3 linked regions of the Yarrowia lipolytica genome follow. The protein of the gene in region 1 purifies or fractionates together with the protein of each later gene. This does not show direct contact. Links are inferred from orthologs where the notes say so. Each region holds a gene or a part of one and is shown in the gene's direction. Other genes may lie near its edges.

Region 1 (5,488 bases):
GTGCAAATACTCTTAGCTATGGTCTCAGCTCATGTGAGACCTTGTTCATTCGTATCTGTGAGACATCTTGAAGTGTGTTAGCCGTGATAACAGAATAGCACTTTTCGACGACGACTGATTGTATCATACAAATGACTGACTCATCGATTGGTACTATGTGAACTAAACCATTGAAGGTACCAGTGGTTGAAAGGATGGCAGGGCGACTACAGATGTAGATGGCCCAACCCGATGCTTGTACTTGAAATACCCAAACTACGTAGGAACAAGTATGTAGCCGTTCGCAGGTCCATGTGGAATCACGGCTTTGCTCATCACAATCAGAATACAATAATTTATTCCCTCTAAACATACTGAGACAGCCATCGAATACCGTCTCCGTAGCCCTGCCGCATGACAATGGAGCACATGAAAATCTCGATGGGTCGGATGTTGCCTTCAAGAGGCACCTTGCCCTTACCGGTGGTCTGGTACAGTCCAAGGGCGTCCTTGAGCTCGAGCTCGGAAACGGCCTGGGGCATGTCGATCTTGTTTCCAAGAATCAAGAAGGGCACAGTCTTGAGCTGCTCAATGGCAAGCAGAGAGTCGAGCTCGGCCTTGGACTCGGCGAATCGAGTAGGGTCGGCGGCATCGACGAGGAAAACAATGCCGTTGACCTCGGGAAAGTAGTCCTTCCACACTCGTCGGGCCTGGATATGTCCACCGAGATCAAAGGTTGTGAATTTACAGTTGCCGATGGACAACTCCTCGGAGGTGGGGTGCACGGTGGGGTTAGAGACGGCCATTCGGTCGTTCTTGAGCATGTGCAGCAGGGTGGTCTTTCCGGCGTTATCGAGACCGAGGAAGAGCAGCTTGGCGTTCTTGTTCCATAGTCCGAGAGAGGACAGAACGTCGTAGACTAGGTTAGCAAAAGGGGGGCAAATCAAAAAGCGAGTGAAGCGAAATTGAGCGGCGATACGATAGCAGACTTGCTGTTTAAGCAGTACAATAACGGCACAGAGAGTTTGCTTGTGTTGAATACCACCGTATGACTGTTTAGGGTATAACAGCAGAGCAACCGTGTATCTTCAGGGGGTTGAGCAACCCTGAACGGCATCAAACCGCAACTTGATGAATGCAACAGGGGCAAAAAACGGCATCGGTACCTGTTTTTGAGTCTCTGGAACAGCCCTAAGTCGCCAGTCTCTGTTAACTGTGTTTTCACCTCCGGGATTTCAAGTCACGAAGCCCCCGTGTCGCTGTAGAGCTTGTCGTGTATCGTGTATCGCCACTTGATCTGATTTCTTTTTTTCCGCTAGCCTCCGCGTCTGTGTAACAAGTACACAAACACAAGCGACCAATCAGTGCCCCTGTATTCCATCCATACTCACACCAGTTGACAATCCACATGATTAGTAGTTGAAGAAGTAGGACAACGTGTGATGATAAGTTGGTGAGTGAGGTGGAATGTAGCAAAAAGGTTAAGCCGGCGGCTTCACGTGCATCCGACTGAGTCCAGGGTGGGGCTGACGCTTTGGTACTGGTATAGGAGGTGTTTGGGAGCAATAGAAGGTGCTGCAAAAGAGTATATATACTGTCCGTTTTTCCTCACATACAATTCTCTTCCTTTTTATCTCCACGCTTATCCTCTACAATCTCCCGTCATTGTGCAATCTCCTACCGATATGAATTTTGGCTGACACGTAAAACGGAAGCCAAAATCGTGCAGCACCAAGGTAAAAACCGTGGTCCTTTGGGGGTGTTGGGACATTACGTGTACATATTGTGGTGTGAGATCAATAGGCGAGCACGAGTACACTGTACATCAGGTGTGTGTGTAGACGTAATTGGTGCCAAAAGTTGTGGGACTTGGAAGTATTTATCTTGAGAGAGAACTGGAACATTCAGAGCAAGCTTCCTATTGTCCATTTATCATCTCTATTATACAATATTGTGTCCCCCGGAGATGTTTCTTTGAGCAGAGCATTTCCCAGCGCCATCACTCCTCCTACTTACCCTACCGAACACTACAAGTACACGTATGAAACTCTCTATTGCACTCTGCGTAGCACTACACCATGAAGCTCGAAATCAAGGTGAGTAATTGAGCGATTCACGCGGCCATGACGACGACTAACACAGCGACACTCGCAGACTCGTTCTGACCGAGTCAAGGGAATCGATTTCCACCCCACTGAGCCATGGTTACTCACCACTCTGTACTCGGGAGTGGCCCAGATCTGGAACTACGAGACACAGACGGTGGTCAAGAGCATCGAGGTGGCAGATGTTCCTCTTCGAGCCGGTCGGTTCATTGCCCGAAAAAACTGGATCATTGTTGGCTCCGACGACTTTATTGTGCGAGTCTTCAACTACAACACTGGAGCCAAGGAGGCCCAGTTTGAGGCCCACCCCGACTACATCCGTGTCATCACCGTTCATCCCACCCTGCCCTACGTGCTGACCGCCGGCGACGACATGTCCATCCGGCTGTGGAACTGGGACACAAACTGGACCATGGAGCGACAGTACCTGGGCCACAGCCACTACATCATGTACGTGGCCTTCAACCCCAAGGACACAAACACATTTGCCTCCGCATGTCTGGATCGAACCGTCAAGGTGTGGTCTCTGTCGGGCGCCTCCACCGTGTCGCGGCCCAACTTCACCCTCGAGGCCCATGCCACCGCCGGCGTCAACTTCGTCGAATACTATCCCGGTGCTGACAAGCCCTACCTCATCACATCTTCGGACGATAAGACCGTCAAGGTGTGGGACTACCAGACCAAGGCCTGCGTCGCCACCATGGAGGGCCACACTAACAACGTGTCCTTCGCTGTCTTCCATCCCGATCTGCCCGTCATCATCTCTGGTGCCGAGGACAATACCGTCAAGGTGTGGAACGCTAACACCTACCAGCTCGAGCAGACCCTCAACTACAGCTATGAGCGAGCCTGGTGTGTGGGTGTCAAGCGAGGCTCCAACCTCGTGGCTGTCGGTTTTGATGCCGGCGCGGTTGTCCTCCGTCTTGGTAAGGAGGACCCTGCCATCTCTCTGGACAGCTCTGGAAAGCTGGTGTGGAGCAAGCACGGAGAAGTCTATTCCGCTCAGGTTAAGGGCGAGGACGCCAAGGACGGCGAATCCCTTGCTCTGGTGCCCAAGGAGCTGGGATCCGTCGAGGTTTTCCCCACCTTCCTGCGACACTCCCCCAACGGCCGATTTGTGGCTGTTGTTGGTGACGGTGAGTACATCATCTACACCGCTCTGGCATGGCGAAACAAGGCTTACGGCTCCGGTCTGGACTTTGTTTGGGCCCAGGACTCCAGCGAGTACGCTGTGCTTGAGTCCCCCAGCTCCGTGCGAGTCTACAAGAACTTCAAGGAGCGGCCATTGGGCCATGTAGACCCCAATTTTTCCGTTGAGGGCATCTTCGGTGGTACCCTGCTCGGTGTGAAGGGTCATGGCTTTGTCGCCATGTACTCGTGGGAGACTGGCCAGCTGGTGCGACGAATTGACGTGGAGGGTGTCACCGGCGTGCACTGGTCTGACTCTGGCGAGCTGGTCGCCATCACCTCGGCCGACGCCTTCTACGTTCTGCGATACAACAAGGACGCGGTTGATGAGGCCGAGAACGTGGACGAGGACGGTGTGGAGGAGTCGTTTGAGCTGCTGCACGAAATTTCCGACTCCGTTCGGTCCGGAGAGTGGCTGCTCGACTGCTTCGTCTACACCTCGTCCGTCAACCGACTCAACTACCTGGTTGGCGGCGTCACATACACAGTCGCACATTTCGATAAGGCCAAGTACCTGCTTGGCTTTGTGTCCAAGGACTCGCGTATCTACCTGTGTGACAAGGATGTCAATGTGTCGTCGTACCGATTGTCTGTGCCTCTCGTTGAATACCAGACTGTTGTTCTGCGAGGCGACGTCGAGCTTGCGCAGTCGGACTTCCTCCCTGCAATCCCTGAGGAGGAGCTGTCTAAGGTGGCCAAGTTCCTGGAGGCCCAGGGCTTCAAGGAGCTTGCTTTGGAGGTGAGCACCGACGACGAGCACAAGTTTGATCTTGCCCTTGCACTTAACGACCTGTCCGTGGCCTCTGAGATTGCTGAGCGATCGCCTCAAGACCACCGATGGAAGCTGCTTGGAGACGCTGCCACTGCCGCCTGGAACTTCGACCTGGCCGAGAAGTGTTTCAAGTCTTCTTCCATCGCCGAGGTCGAGTCTCTGCTGCTGCTGTACTCGGCCACCGGAAACCGAGCCGGCATGGAGTGGGTGGCTGACAAGGCTGCCGATGCTGGCAAGTACAACGTTGCCTTCAACGCCCTGTGGTCCATCGGTGCCGTGAAGCAGTGTGTTGATCTGCTTAACAAGACTGGTCGACACTCGGAGGCTGCTCTCGTTGCTCTGTCGTACGGAAAGGGTAACGTGGAGAAGTCTGTAGGTCAGTGGAAGGCTTCCCTGGTCGCCAACGGTAAGGACAAGATTGCCGAGTCCATTTCTTCCCCCAGTGAAGAACCCGACAAGTTCCCTCAGGGCAACCTGATTGATTTTGAGGAGAAGCCCGCTGAGAAGGCTGCCGAACCCAAGCTGGGAGCTCCTGTCGAGATCAAGGAGGACGGCAAGGTCGAGGCCGTGACTAACGTGCAACCCGAGAAGCCCAACCCCGCGGCTGTGGATGAGTTATCCGAGACCGAGGCTGAGGCTGAGGTTGAGGTTGAGGTCAAGATGCAGGAGGAGGTTGATGAGGCTGCCAACACCTTGTAAGAGGGAATGCTAGAGGTGGACGTAGAAATAGGTCATGTTAAATAAATATCATTGTATAAGTAGATTGAGAGCATGGCACGAGCTGTTGCGGAGTACACCGTGGAAGTGGTGAGTTACATATTGTACATATTGTAGGAAGTATCCAGTGTACTTGTACTTGTACAGTATTGCACAGTGATTAAGTATCCAGGGGGGATATCCAGCTCCTTGTCCAGCTCGAGGTCGAAGAGTTTACTCTAAAACTACAGTATTTTTAGTTTAACTCCCAACAGTTTACTTGGATATCATGTCACGTTAAAGTGTGTAGAAGAGGTATGAATAGTCCAGTTGTCGAGATGGTGTAGAGAAATGGTTTGAGATGGTTGTTTTTGAATGTAGCAGTAATTTATATCATGTGACTGTTTGATCGTGCCTTTGTTTGTTATCACGCTGAGTAGATCTCTTTCAATGGTCTCATCGCTTACTAAACAAAGTTCCAAAGTCAGGGTTAGGAGGGCGTCCCTCCCACCAATCAAAATTTGGGTAACTCGGCTTGCAGTGACATCACAGCTTCTAACACACAACCAGACACACGACAAAATGGCTATTCCTTTTGAGGCATTGCTCCCTTACGGTATCATTTTTGGTGTAAGTATGAGACGGCGGCTTTGTGGCTCGAGCTATGGCTTTGGACTTGTGATTTGACCGGACAGGAGGTACACTACAAGACGACAGTTACAGGAGTGAATGCAGAAATTCTGGAGAG
Region 2 (4,144 bases), on another chromosome or scaffold:
GCTGCCTCCTTATGGGCGTCCAGAGCCTTCTTTCTCCATTCCGTAACCTCGGATTCAAGTGCGCTAATTCTGTCCTCTAGTTTGGCCTGTCGCTTATCACTTTCAGCCAGTTCCTGCTCCAGTTCGAGTTCCAGCTCCTTGGATGACTCCTGAAACTCCGTCAGCTCGTGTTCCAGCTGCTGGATCTGCTCTTTGGCCTGGAGGTACTGGTTGTATGCAATCACCTCGAGGTGTGCCTTGGAGTTGGGCGTCAAAGGCGACGCAGGAGTGTCGATATCGGTCATGGTGTGTTCTGATCTGCTGTGAGTGCGTGTCTGCGCCTATGAAGCGGTTCCTGGGGGTGTGGTGAAGCTTCCGAGTCGGTCCGGACTACGCACGGGCGTGTAGTGTGCTCTTACAGTCTATAGCCAGTGTTAGAATGCTCCCTGTGAGCGTGTTGAGGTTGGCTATTTTCAATGTTTTGTTCTGGAGATGAAATTAAACCCAAGTAAATACATAGAGTTGCAGCGTGCATATGACGTGGAGATATTATTGTTCCAGGGTGTATGGCGCAGATGGGATGGTGGTGGGATGGTGGTGGGATGATAAAAAACAACAGGTGAGGTGAAGCGAGTGGGGTTTTATAGAGGGGTTTCAGTCGCTTTTAAGCCCTATAACACTTCTAGTGGTGTGGCGGTTACTGGGCACCGTATTTGGTTGTCCCTACTATACTGAGTATGTATGTAAGTATTTGTTTTACTTGTCGCTAATCTGAAAGAAATTAAGGACTCGCTCCCTTTAATGAAACAAGCCCATGTGATGAGGGTGCCCCTAAATGGAGAGAGCTGATAGCCGACATATGAAAGGAATCACACTATAAGAAAGCGTGACTCCCGCGCCACAGAACAAAGTGCTGTACCAGTAGCTGTGTAACATGGAGAGGACAGTACGTACGGTGTGATTAACTCGTTCCAGACCACTCTCCACGACACTTCAGTGTCTAGAGTTAACGGAGAGTTACGACAATCTCAACTTGACGCGTTTACTGGATGACGACTTGGAAATATGGAGTATCAACACTCCAAGAACGCTCAGAATAGATTGTCAAATCCGTTTGTTCGACAAATACGCGTACTGGTGTCATACCTGTGTCCTTCAAATACACTCCTTCTTGTTACGGCAACATTTGCCTGTCACCCTCCCATACTCCCATCGGTACTCCCAGCCGCACAAGTTGAGCTTAAACACGTGACTCCTAACCTCTGTGGGCGAACCCAGTGTTTCTGTCAATATTCCAACCTCGAACTCTAACAAGGACAACACATCAGCACACCAGCACACATCACGATCAAAGGAGGAAAATGGTAAGCAATTGGACGGATCCGAATCGCTCGCGCATATACTAACACAGGTCGTTTTAGCCGCATCCATATGCTCACGTGGCGGCAAAGCCATCATCTCGCGTCAATTCCGAGATCTGCCCAAAGAGAAGGTCGCCGGACTGCTGGCCATCTTCCCCAAGCTCATCCAGGGCTCCAAACAACACACAACCGTGGAGCACGACAATGTTCGATACGTTTACCAGCCACTGGAGGAGCTGTACGTGGTTTTGATCACCAACCGTCAGTCCAACATTCTGCAGGACATTGAGACTCTGAGACTGCTAGTCCAGGTGGTCACTTCGTTGGTACGTGTCGTGGATGAGCGGGAGATTCTGCTGGCCGCATTCGACCTGCTCGGCGCCTTTGACGAGGTGGTGTCCCAGGGCTACCGGGAAAACCTGTCTCTGCAGCAGATCCAGACGTTTTTGGAAATGGAGTCCCACGAGGAGAAGATTCAGGAAATCATTGAGCGAAACAAGGAGCTGGAGGCCACCGAAGATCGAAAGCGAAAGGCCAAGCAGCTGGAGATGCAGCGAAAGGAGGCTGCCAAGCGAGGTCTGCCCGGAAACGCTGGAGGTCATGGATCTTTCCAGGCCCCCGCCTTCCAGGCCCCCGCTCCTTCGTTTGTGCAACCCGCTGCTGCTCCCGCACCTATCCCCGAGACAACCCACAAGCCCCGTGCTCCTCGAGGAAAGGGCATGCAGCTCGGCAAGAAGAAGGGCGGATTCGATGACAGCCCCTCTGCTTCTCTGCTGGCTAACGCTGACATCGCCGTGCCCACCCCCAAGTCAAAGCCGCAGCAGCAGACTGCCCCCGCAGCAGCAGCTCCCTCTGCCTACAATCCCGAGGTCCAGGGCGTTCATCTCACTGTCGCCGAGGTTGTCACCGCGACTCTCGGTCGAGACGGCTCTGTTAAGAGCGCTGAGGTCAAGGGAGACGTACAGCTGAGAATCGGCAACCCCGACCACACAAAGATCCGAATCGCGCTCGAGGCTAACGCCCCCGGCGTCAAGTACCGAACCCATCCCAACGTGGACAAGGCGCTGTTCTCCTCGCGCCAGATCATCGGTCTCAAGGACCCCTCTCGAGGCTTCCCCTCTAACGGCGCTGCTCTCGGCGTCCTGAGATACTCTGCTAACGCACCGGAAGAGGCTGTTCCTCTGACCTTCAACTGCTGGTTTGCGAAGTCGGACCCCGGCTTCTACGACGTGACCCTGGAGTACGAGGTCTCTGAGGGTTTCACCGGCAAGATGACCAACGTGTCTGTCATTGTGCCTCTGGTCTCCTCCAACGCTCACATCTCCGACTCCTCCATCACCTGGGACCAGTTCGACGACCATCTCGAGTGGATCATTCCTGAGATCACTGCTGATGGTGACACCTCTACCGGTGCCTTTGAGTTCACCGCTGAGGCCGACCAGGAGGACGAGTTCTTCCCCATGGAGGTTTCCTTCACTCTCAACGACCCTGAGACCACAGTGGGCAACGTCAAGATTCTCAACGTCTTCTCTGCCACTGCCGAGGACGAAAACATCCCCTACCAAGAGGTGACCCGAGTGACGTCGGACAACTACCAGATTGTTTAAGGAGGAACAACTACTAGGTAGCATGTATAAGTAGGTTGTATGGAGCTGTTATTGGAACAACGAGTACAAGTAGGTTGAGTGTAAATTGGCCGTATTACTGGAGCAATATGTGACAAAGTAGATTTGGTATCATGTGTTTCCTGTGTCTGTGTCACTGTTGGGTATTGTACTCGTACCTGCTGTAGTATTGTACATACTGTAGGTTGGGCAAGTAGGGAAGAAGCTGTCAGGCTATATTAAGACACACTTGTAGCTAAACTGGTGAAGATGTCTTGCTGTGTTTGTTGGAATAGATTACTTGGTATAACCACTATTAGTAGATATTATGAAGCTGTTTGAAGCGTTGAGAGAGACGAGAGAGAAAAAAGTTCCTTTATGTCAATGGTAATCCTGTTATGTCACTACAACTGCAAACTCAGCCCGGGAGTGGCGATTATGAAGTCGCAGCCAATGCTCTCAATCTTGGCCAGGCCGATTATATCCTCCAAAACCACTTTCCGAGGATCGTTTTCGGGATCCTCATTGTAAATATCCTCCTTTACGTGCGTGATAACAACAGGAAGACCCTTCAAGTGCAGATCTGGAGGCGGTTGGTGTGGATGATGTGCGTGTGTCTGAGGGATGCGTTTGGGGACCGGAATCGACACCTCCTCGTCCATGTTTTCCACGTCCAACTCGTTGGTCTCATGAAGTTCTTCCCATCCCACCATAGCATGGAAGTCCTCTTCACTGCCCTCCACCATTGATGCAAAGTACTTAAGTTCGGCAATCAGGTGGCGGGGGGAAAAGTGACCAAAGAGAAGAGCGTCGTCGTGTGGGTTGGCAAACGAGCACTCGATAAATATGCCCGCCAGCAGCCCCTGCTGCATGTATTCAGCTGCCTTTCGCCACACGAGGTAGTTCCGCGGCGTGTACGAGATGGAATCTGGTTCCACGTCGCCCCACATGAGCAGCACCCTGTTTGTGTTGCTGTCGTGGATGAAGAAGGCTGTTGAGTCGTAAGATGCCAGAGACGTTCCCAGAGGAGGTCCTGGGGTTGGATGCGAGGTTGGATTGGATGTAGGGTAGCTGGAGGGGCTTACCGAGCCGACTGAGCTTGCCGAAGACGTACCACCGCTAGATTTGCGATGAGGAACCAACGAGGGAGATGTGGGGGAGTGGAGATGCGAAGAGGCAGAGGCGATTGACGCCCGAAGT
Region 3 (6,045 bases), on another chromosome or scaffold:
CTCCTGCGCATCTCCCCTTTGAGCCACAGTCGTCTTCGCTGACCCGGCCCTATCAGTCCCGACACTCGAGTCTGGGCCTTGGACAGCCTGTCAGCTATCTACAGAGTCTTTCCTCGGCTCAATCTCAGAGTCGCAAACGTCACTCTCTACCCGCTCCCTCTGTCGCCCCCCTGCCTGAGGATGGAGGCCCCATTCCGGACGGAAAAGTAATGGACGACCCACACGCCATTGACGCTCACGATCTTTTCTGGGCCAAGACAATCACACCCGAGTTCCACAGTGTCGTCGAGCGGAAACGAAAGGAGAACAAGATCGACAGCTACAATCCCTTTGCAACATTCAACCAGTGGAACGCTTGTGCTGTTTACGAGCGCAAAAACAAGCACACTCTGCCACAGTACAAGGTGCGCAAGCTGGCGGACGGCACTCGCGGCATTTTGAAGTACGCCGTTGAGAGCAAGGTCCCTGAGCACCTGCGGTGTCTTCCCTCTTCGGAGTTGCTGAACTCGTGCTATGATTGTGGACAGAGAGGGGAACATGCTGCGACCTGCGAGTTCCATCGCGAGGTTGGCGATGAGAGTTATGTTCCCGTCAGTGGCGATCCTGAGAATCGGAAGCGGAGGTGCGTGGGAGGTGGGGGCAGCAACACTTTTGCTGCAGATTACAACTACAAAGACCCATCTGAGAACAAGGAGGACCACTTTGTGACCAAAGCCTGGGACACAGTCAAGTGGAATGTGGTGAAGCGGCCGATTATGGCGATGCGGGCGAGAAGAAGGCGATAGAACTAGGAGGGTGGGGGGAAGACCGAACTATGATCGAGAGAGCGATCAATTTCAGCCCATAGAACTATCCGTAGCGACTGCGGCAACTACGCGTCATGATGAGTGATACGGGGTGGGGTCGTTAATGTTTTGCTGCAGTTGAGCTCTGTGCTGAATGTGATGGTATTCAGTGAAGTATCTTCATAATTAATGGGGTATATATAAAGTGTGTGTTTTAGGGGCGGTTTCAGTGGTATATACCTGTTTCTATCAGAAGCAGTCTTTGCTTGTTGATGGTAAATATGGATAGTTAAAATAAAAAATAAAAAAACAATAGAGACTTGTTGGTTGTGTCTACCTTATGTTTTTTTTCGCCGTAGTCTCAGAACTGTCTCAGAACTGAGTCTGTACAACAGTTGGATCAGGTGGGTGAAAAGATGGTCGATTGACTGGATGTTGGTGATTGGTGATGATCACGTCTTTGAGACTCTACTGTGAAATTTACAGCTCATTTTGATCAAAACTGGTTGGTTTTGCATCACATGAGTGCGCAGGAGTTTTGATAGTTGCAGGAGAGGAGGTGAATGGGGAGAGGTTGGAGAATGTGGTTGATTTTTCCGAGAGTCTCAGAAATTTGGCGGCATGTTTAGATCGTTGAGATTTTTGTGATTTTTCCAATTTTTTCCCTTTTTTTTTTCTGATTTTTCCTCATTTTCTCCATTTTTCCCCATTTTTTCCGATTATACACCCATGAACGTCCTGTTCCACATCTCCAATATTTCACCACCGGGTCTCGAAACTTTATTTACGCCGTACAATAAATTAGGGTGTTTTGGCGCGATGGAGGATCGGTTTAAATGGTAATTCTGGGGAGATAGAAATCCGCAAAATTATTACTTTCAAAGACAATGTTGTGTTATATTTAATGTAATTTTTCCCACATTTTTCCCCATTTTTTTCACTTTTTCAGGGTCTATTTCAACTTCTACCTGTATAACCGTATAACCGCACGTCGGATGTACTGTACTTGTACATAGAGCCAGATCAGAGGGCTCAGAAAAGGCGCTCGCTGGGTGTAAAAAGCAGAAAAAAATGGGTTAAACACATATTATAGCGATTTCATATTTCTTTTCCTTGCCCAATTTATTTTGCCGTCCAAAAAAGTGCCCTTTTTCGACCCACAGCTCCGGCACCACTCCTCCCATCCATTCCACCTATCCTACCCTAACCCTAACGAAAGAAACACGTCAGATACAGTTGTTACACCGACACACAGCACACATACATTGTCATCCTACACCACTCCCCACAATGTCAGCGCTCAGCTACAAGAAAAACGACGACATTGAGTCGGGCGCGCTGGACAAGATGACCGTGTACCAGGAGTGTCAGCGGGCGTTTGCCGAGTCGCCCATCAACGCGCGAAAGTGCCGAAAGCTGCTGGCCAAGCTGATCCACCTGCTCACCATCGGCGAGACCTTCAGTGAGTTTGAGGCCACGGGTCTGTTCATCGCCGTGTCCAAGCTGTTCCCCCATAAGGACCCGTCGCTGCGGCAGATTGTGTATCTGGCCATCAAGGAGCTGGTGCCTCTGTCCAACAACGACGTGATTATGGTCACCTCGTCCATCACCCGAGACGTGCAGGGCTCGTCGGACCTGATCTACAAACCCAATGCCATCCGAGCACTGGCGCGGGTCATTGACGGCTCGTTTGTGCAGGGCATTGAGCGGCTGATGAAAACGGCCATTGTCGACCGTCACACCTCCGTGTCGTCGGCCGCCCTCGTGTCGGCCTACCACCTGCTCCCCATCGCCAAGGACACCATTCGCCGATGGGCCGCCGAGGTCCAGGAGGCGGTCACGTCGCAGAAGAACTTCCCGGCGGGTGACCCCTGCCCAACTACGCCCCGGCCCCGCCGTGCTGGCCCCCTACCACGCCCTGTCGCTGCTGTACGAGCTGCGAGCACACGACCGAATGGCCCTCATCAAGCTCATCCAGCAGTTCTCCGGCGCCTCGGCCCACCTGCAGTCGCCCAACGCCAATGTCATGCTCATCCGATTCATCGCCAAGGCTGCCAACGACGGTGCCCACCGGCAACAGCTCGTGGCCCTCCTGGAACGATATCTCGGCCACAAATCCGACATGGTCGCCCTCGAGGCCGCCAAGGCCGTGCTCACCCTCCGAGACGTGAGCCCTAAGGAGGCCGCCTCCGCCATTGAGTCGCTGCGGGCCTTCCTGGCGTCTCCTCGAACCATTGCCCGGTTTGCAGCCATCCGAATCCTCAACCGGTTCGCGATGACCAACCCCGGCGCCGTGGCCGTGTGCAACGCGGAGATCCAGCCCTTGATCACCGACTCTAACCGGTCCATCGCCACCTACGCCATCACGGCGCTGCTCAAGACCGGCAATGAGGCCTCCGTCGACAAGCTGGTCACCCAGATCAGCGGGTTCATGTCCGACATCACCGACGAATTCCGAATTGTGGTCATCGATGCTGTCCGGTCGCTAGCGCTTAAGTTCCACGCTAAAAAGTCTACCATGCTGCAGTTCTTTGGCAACACCCTTCGGAACGATGGTGGCAGTGCCCAATACAAGGCTGCCGTGGTTGCCGCGCTGTTTGACATGATCCGGTACGTGCCCGACTGCAGAGACACCGCCCTCGGCATTCTGTGCGAGTTCATCGAGGACTGCGAGTACACCGAGATTGTTGTTTCCGTCTTGCATACTCTCGGACAGGAGGGCCCTGCCGCCGCCAACCCCACAGTGTACATTCGGTACATCTACAACCGAATCGTGCTTGAAAACGCTTTCATTCGAGCAGCTGCTGTCTCTGCACTGGCCAAGTTCGCGCTGGTGGATGACACCTCTGTCAAGAAGTCCGTCAAGGTGCTGCTGGAGCGATCTCTGGAGGATGAGACCGACGAGGTGCGAGACCGAGCTGTCATTGCGCTCAAGCTGCTCGAGTCTGGTGACCAGGCCCAGGCCAAGGCATACATTTCGCCCGAGTCGCGATTCTCTCTCCCCATTCTGGAGCACAAGCTGGCTCTGTATGTGACTGGGTCCGGTGCCGACTTTGACACGCCCTTTGACATGTCCTCTGTGCCTCTCATCACCGACCAGGAGGCCCGAGAGGCTGCTCTCAAGGCACACAGAGAGACCACCGAGGCCACCCCTGTGGTCAACGGCGGAGCTGGAGGACCCACCCCTGCTTCTGCGGCTGCTGCCACCACCGCCAACCTGGCGTCCAAGAGCAATTCTCACGAGGCCGCTATCCAGCGTGCCGAGAAGTACGCTGCCGAGCTGGCCGCTATTCCCGATCTGGCAGCCTTTGGCACTCCTCTCAAGTCTTCTCTTGCGGTGGCTCTCACCGAGTCCGAGACTGAGTTTGTCGTGACTGCCATCAAACACATTTTCCCCAGCCACGTGGTGCTGCAGTACGACGTGCACAACACGCTTCCCGACGCACAGCTCAGCAACGTGTCAGTGGTGGCGTCTATTGAGGACGACAGCGAGGAGCTGGTGGAGGAGTTCATTCTTCCTGTGGACGAGCTTGGTCCCGATTCTCACGGCACCGTCTACGTGGCCCTCGAGAAGACCGAGGACCATCTTGCTGTTGCATCGTTTGAGAACATTCTCAAGTTCACTCTCCATGACATCAACAAGACCACCGGCGAGGTGTCTGAGGACGGCGACGAGGACGAGTACCAGATTGAGAACCTGGTGCTGGGTGCTGGCGACTACCTCGAGGGTGGCTTCATCGGCTCGTTTGACCACCTGTGGGACGAGCTGGCCAACACCGAGGCGGTTGACACTGCCACTCTGTCCGAATACAAGGGTCTGGAGGAAGCTGTCCAGTTTCTCATTTCACAGCTGTCTCTCACTCCTCTGGAGTCGTCTGATGAGGTCACCTCGGCTTCCACACATACTCTGAAGCTGTTTGGAAAGACTCTGACTGGCGAGAAGGTGATTGTGCAGATCAAGATGGCCGCCTCGCAGCGAACAGGAGTTGTGGTGCAGTGCAAGGCTAGATCGGGTGATGAGGAAGTGGCCGAGTTGGTTGCTGGATTTGTGGGCTCGTTGTAAGTGCGTCTTTGTTAATGAGCGAACAGGCCAGATAAGTGGCCTTTGGTTAGTAAGATATATAGTGAAGGATTATTGCAAGTTTGGTGTAGTAGGTGTGATTGGGCTCTGTGGATGATGATGGCTAGAACGTCCACGTGAAGGGCTGAGGAGCATGCTTTAGGAGGATGATTCAGCTAGGGAACCTGCTCAAAAGGATGATTCATTGTTTCTATCCAATTCAAGTCCATTTCAACTGATTCTATCACGATTCAAGTTGTTTTTATCACGATTTAATGTGATTCTGTAATGTCACTCTGATAAGACCAATATTCCGCGAATTGGAGTTGTCCGAGTGAGATGCAGTTGAAAACTATTAGAGGCTTCTGGGCATGACTAGAATCCGATACCACCTTAGTAAAGTGTATTCGACATACTCTTAATCTGTAGTCTCAGGAAGCGAGAACAGTTCAAACTGACTTCAGCTTGTGACACCAATTAACCACATCCACACACAAACACCACGCCGAATTGGAGACAGAACATGATTGCGTCCGCCGCTTTGTTGTGTTTGTGTTGTTGGATTTGGGGCGAGTGATGTGAAGGAAGAAGAGTCGAAAAGCGCGAGGTGGGTGTTAAAGTAGAGTCGCCATAGTGTGGTAATGATGACTGGTCATATATGCATGTTTCCAAGTAAAGTTAAGTAAAAAGGGAGGACATTTTTTTTGCTATTATGGCTACGGAATGGAATTTTTGTATGACAAGAATGATAATTTATTACATGTTTTCATAGTCCTCGTTTCCAGCTACATTTCTATACAACTTTTACTTCTTCACCACCTCTGCAACATTGGATTTGAACCCCCAGTAACTTTTTCCTTTAACAAATTCCCAACTATAACTAATCCAACTAGCCTCGTTAATTGTATGCTTCCATCTCGCTCAATAATACTCGGATTGCCACCACGAGAGTTGCTTTCGCTTCGGAATCGTCCGCTCTCTAAAATGGGCCCTTCTCCGATGTCTGCACATTTTCCCGGGACTATGTGCGCCGTATCGTTTGCTCTCGCGCTCGCATCCGTCGTTTCCCAGCAACGATAAGCCCGATATTAAAAACAGACCTAATCTGATGCGCATAAAATAGACTCTGGGGATCCTGTGACTGGAGTGTCCGGATCAGACGGCAGGAAGATACGTCTTTGGAGATTGCGGAGAGACGTC

The links. Proteins that work in one complex are often made in the same cells at the same time.
Region 2: the proteins of YALI1_C30119g (region 1) and YALI1_E38593g purify together in Saccharomyces cerevisiae (affinity purification with mass spectrometry; 6 studies listed by BioGRID). This does not show direct contact. The link is inferred for Yarrowia lipolytica from reciprocal best matches to the Saccharomyces cerevisiae genes SEC27 and RET2.
Region 3: the proteins of YALI1_C30119g (region 1) and YALI1_F04895g purify together in Saccharomyces cerevisiae (affinity purification with mass spectrometry; 6 studies listed by BioGRID). This does not show direct contact. The link is inferred for Yarrowia lipolytica from reciprocal best matches to the Saccharomyces cerevisiae genes SEC27 and SEC21.

The regions. Positions count from the first base shown.
Region 1 is NC_090772.1:3,008,966-3,014,453, reverse strand, and holds YALI1_C30119g (uncharacterized protein), read left to right. Parts: upstream 1-2,457; coding exon 2,458-4,743; downstream 4,744-5,488. Other genes in the region: YALI1_C30130g (uncharacterized protein), read right to left, coding at 345-898, 1,371-1,389; YALI1_C30086g (uncharacterized protein), read left to right, coding at 5,323-5,370. UniProt on the Saccharomyces cerevisiae protein: The coatomer is a cytosolic protein complex that binds to dilysine motifs and reversibly associates with Golgi non-clathrin-coated vesicles, which further mediate biosynthetic protein transport from the ER, via the Golgi up to the trans Golgi network.
Region 2 is NC_090774.1:3,856,993-3,861,136, reverse strand, and holds YALI1_E38593g (uncharacterized protein), read left to right. Parts: upstream 1-1,792; coding exon 1,793-2,947; downstream 2,948-4,144. Other genes in the region: YALI1_E38608g (uncharacterized protein), read right to left, coding at 1-284; YALI1_E38561g (uncharacterized protein), read right to left, coding at 3,349-4,144. UniProt on the Saccharomyces cerevisiae protein: The coatomer is a cytosolic protein complex that binds to dilysine motifs and reversibly associates with Golgi non-clathrin-coated vesicles, which further mediate biosynthetic protein transport from the ER, via the Golgi up to the trans Golgi network.
Region 3 is NC_090775.1:486,260-492,304, reverse strand, and holds YALI1_F04895g (uncharacterized protein), read left to right. Parts: upstream 1-2,075; coding exon 2,076-2,682; intron 2,683-2,728; coding exon 2,729-4,848; downstream 4,849-6,045. Other genes in the region: YALI1_F04920g (uncharacterized protein), read left to right, coding at 210-785; YALI1_F04860g (uncharacterized protein), read right to left, coding at 5,946-6,045. UniProt on the Saccharomyces cerevisiae protein: The coatomer is a cytosolic protein complex that binds to dilysine motifs and reversibly associates with Golgi non-clathrin-coated vesicles, which further mediate biosynthetic protein transport from the ER, via the Golgi up to the trans Golgi network.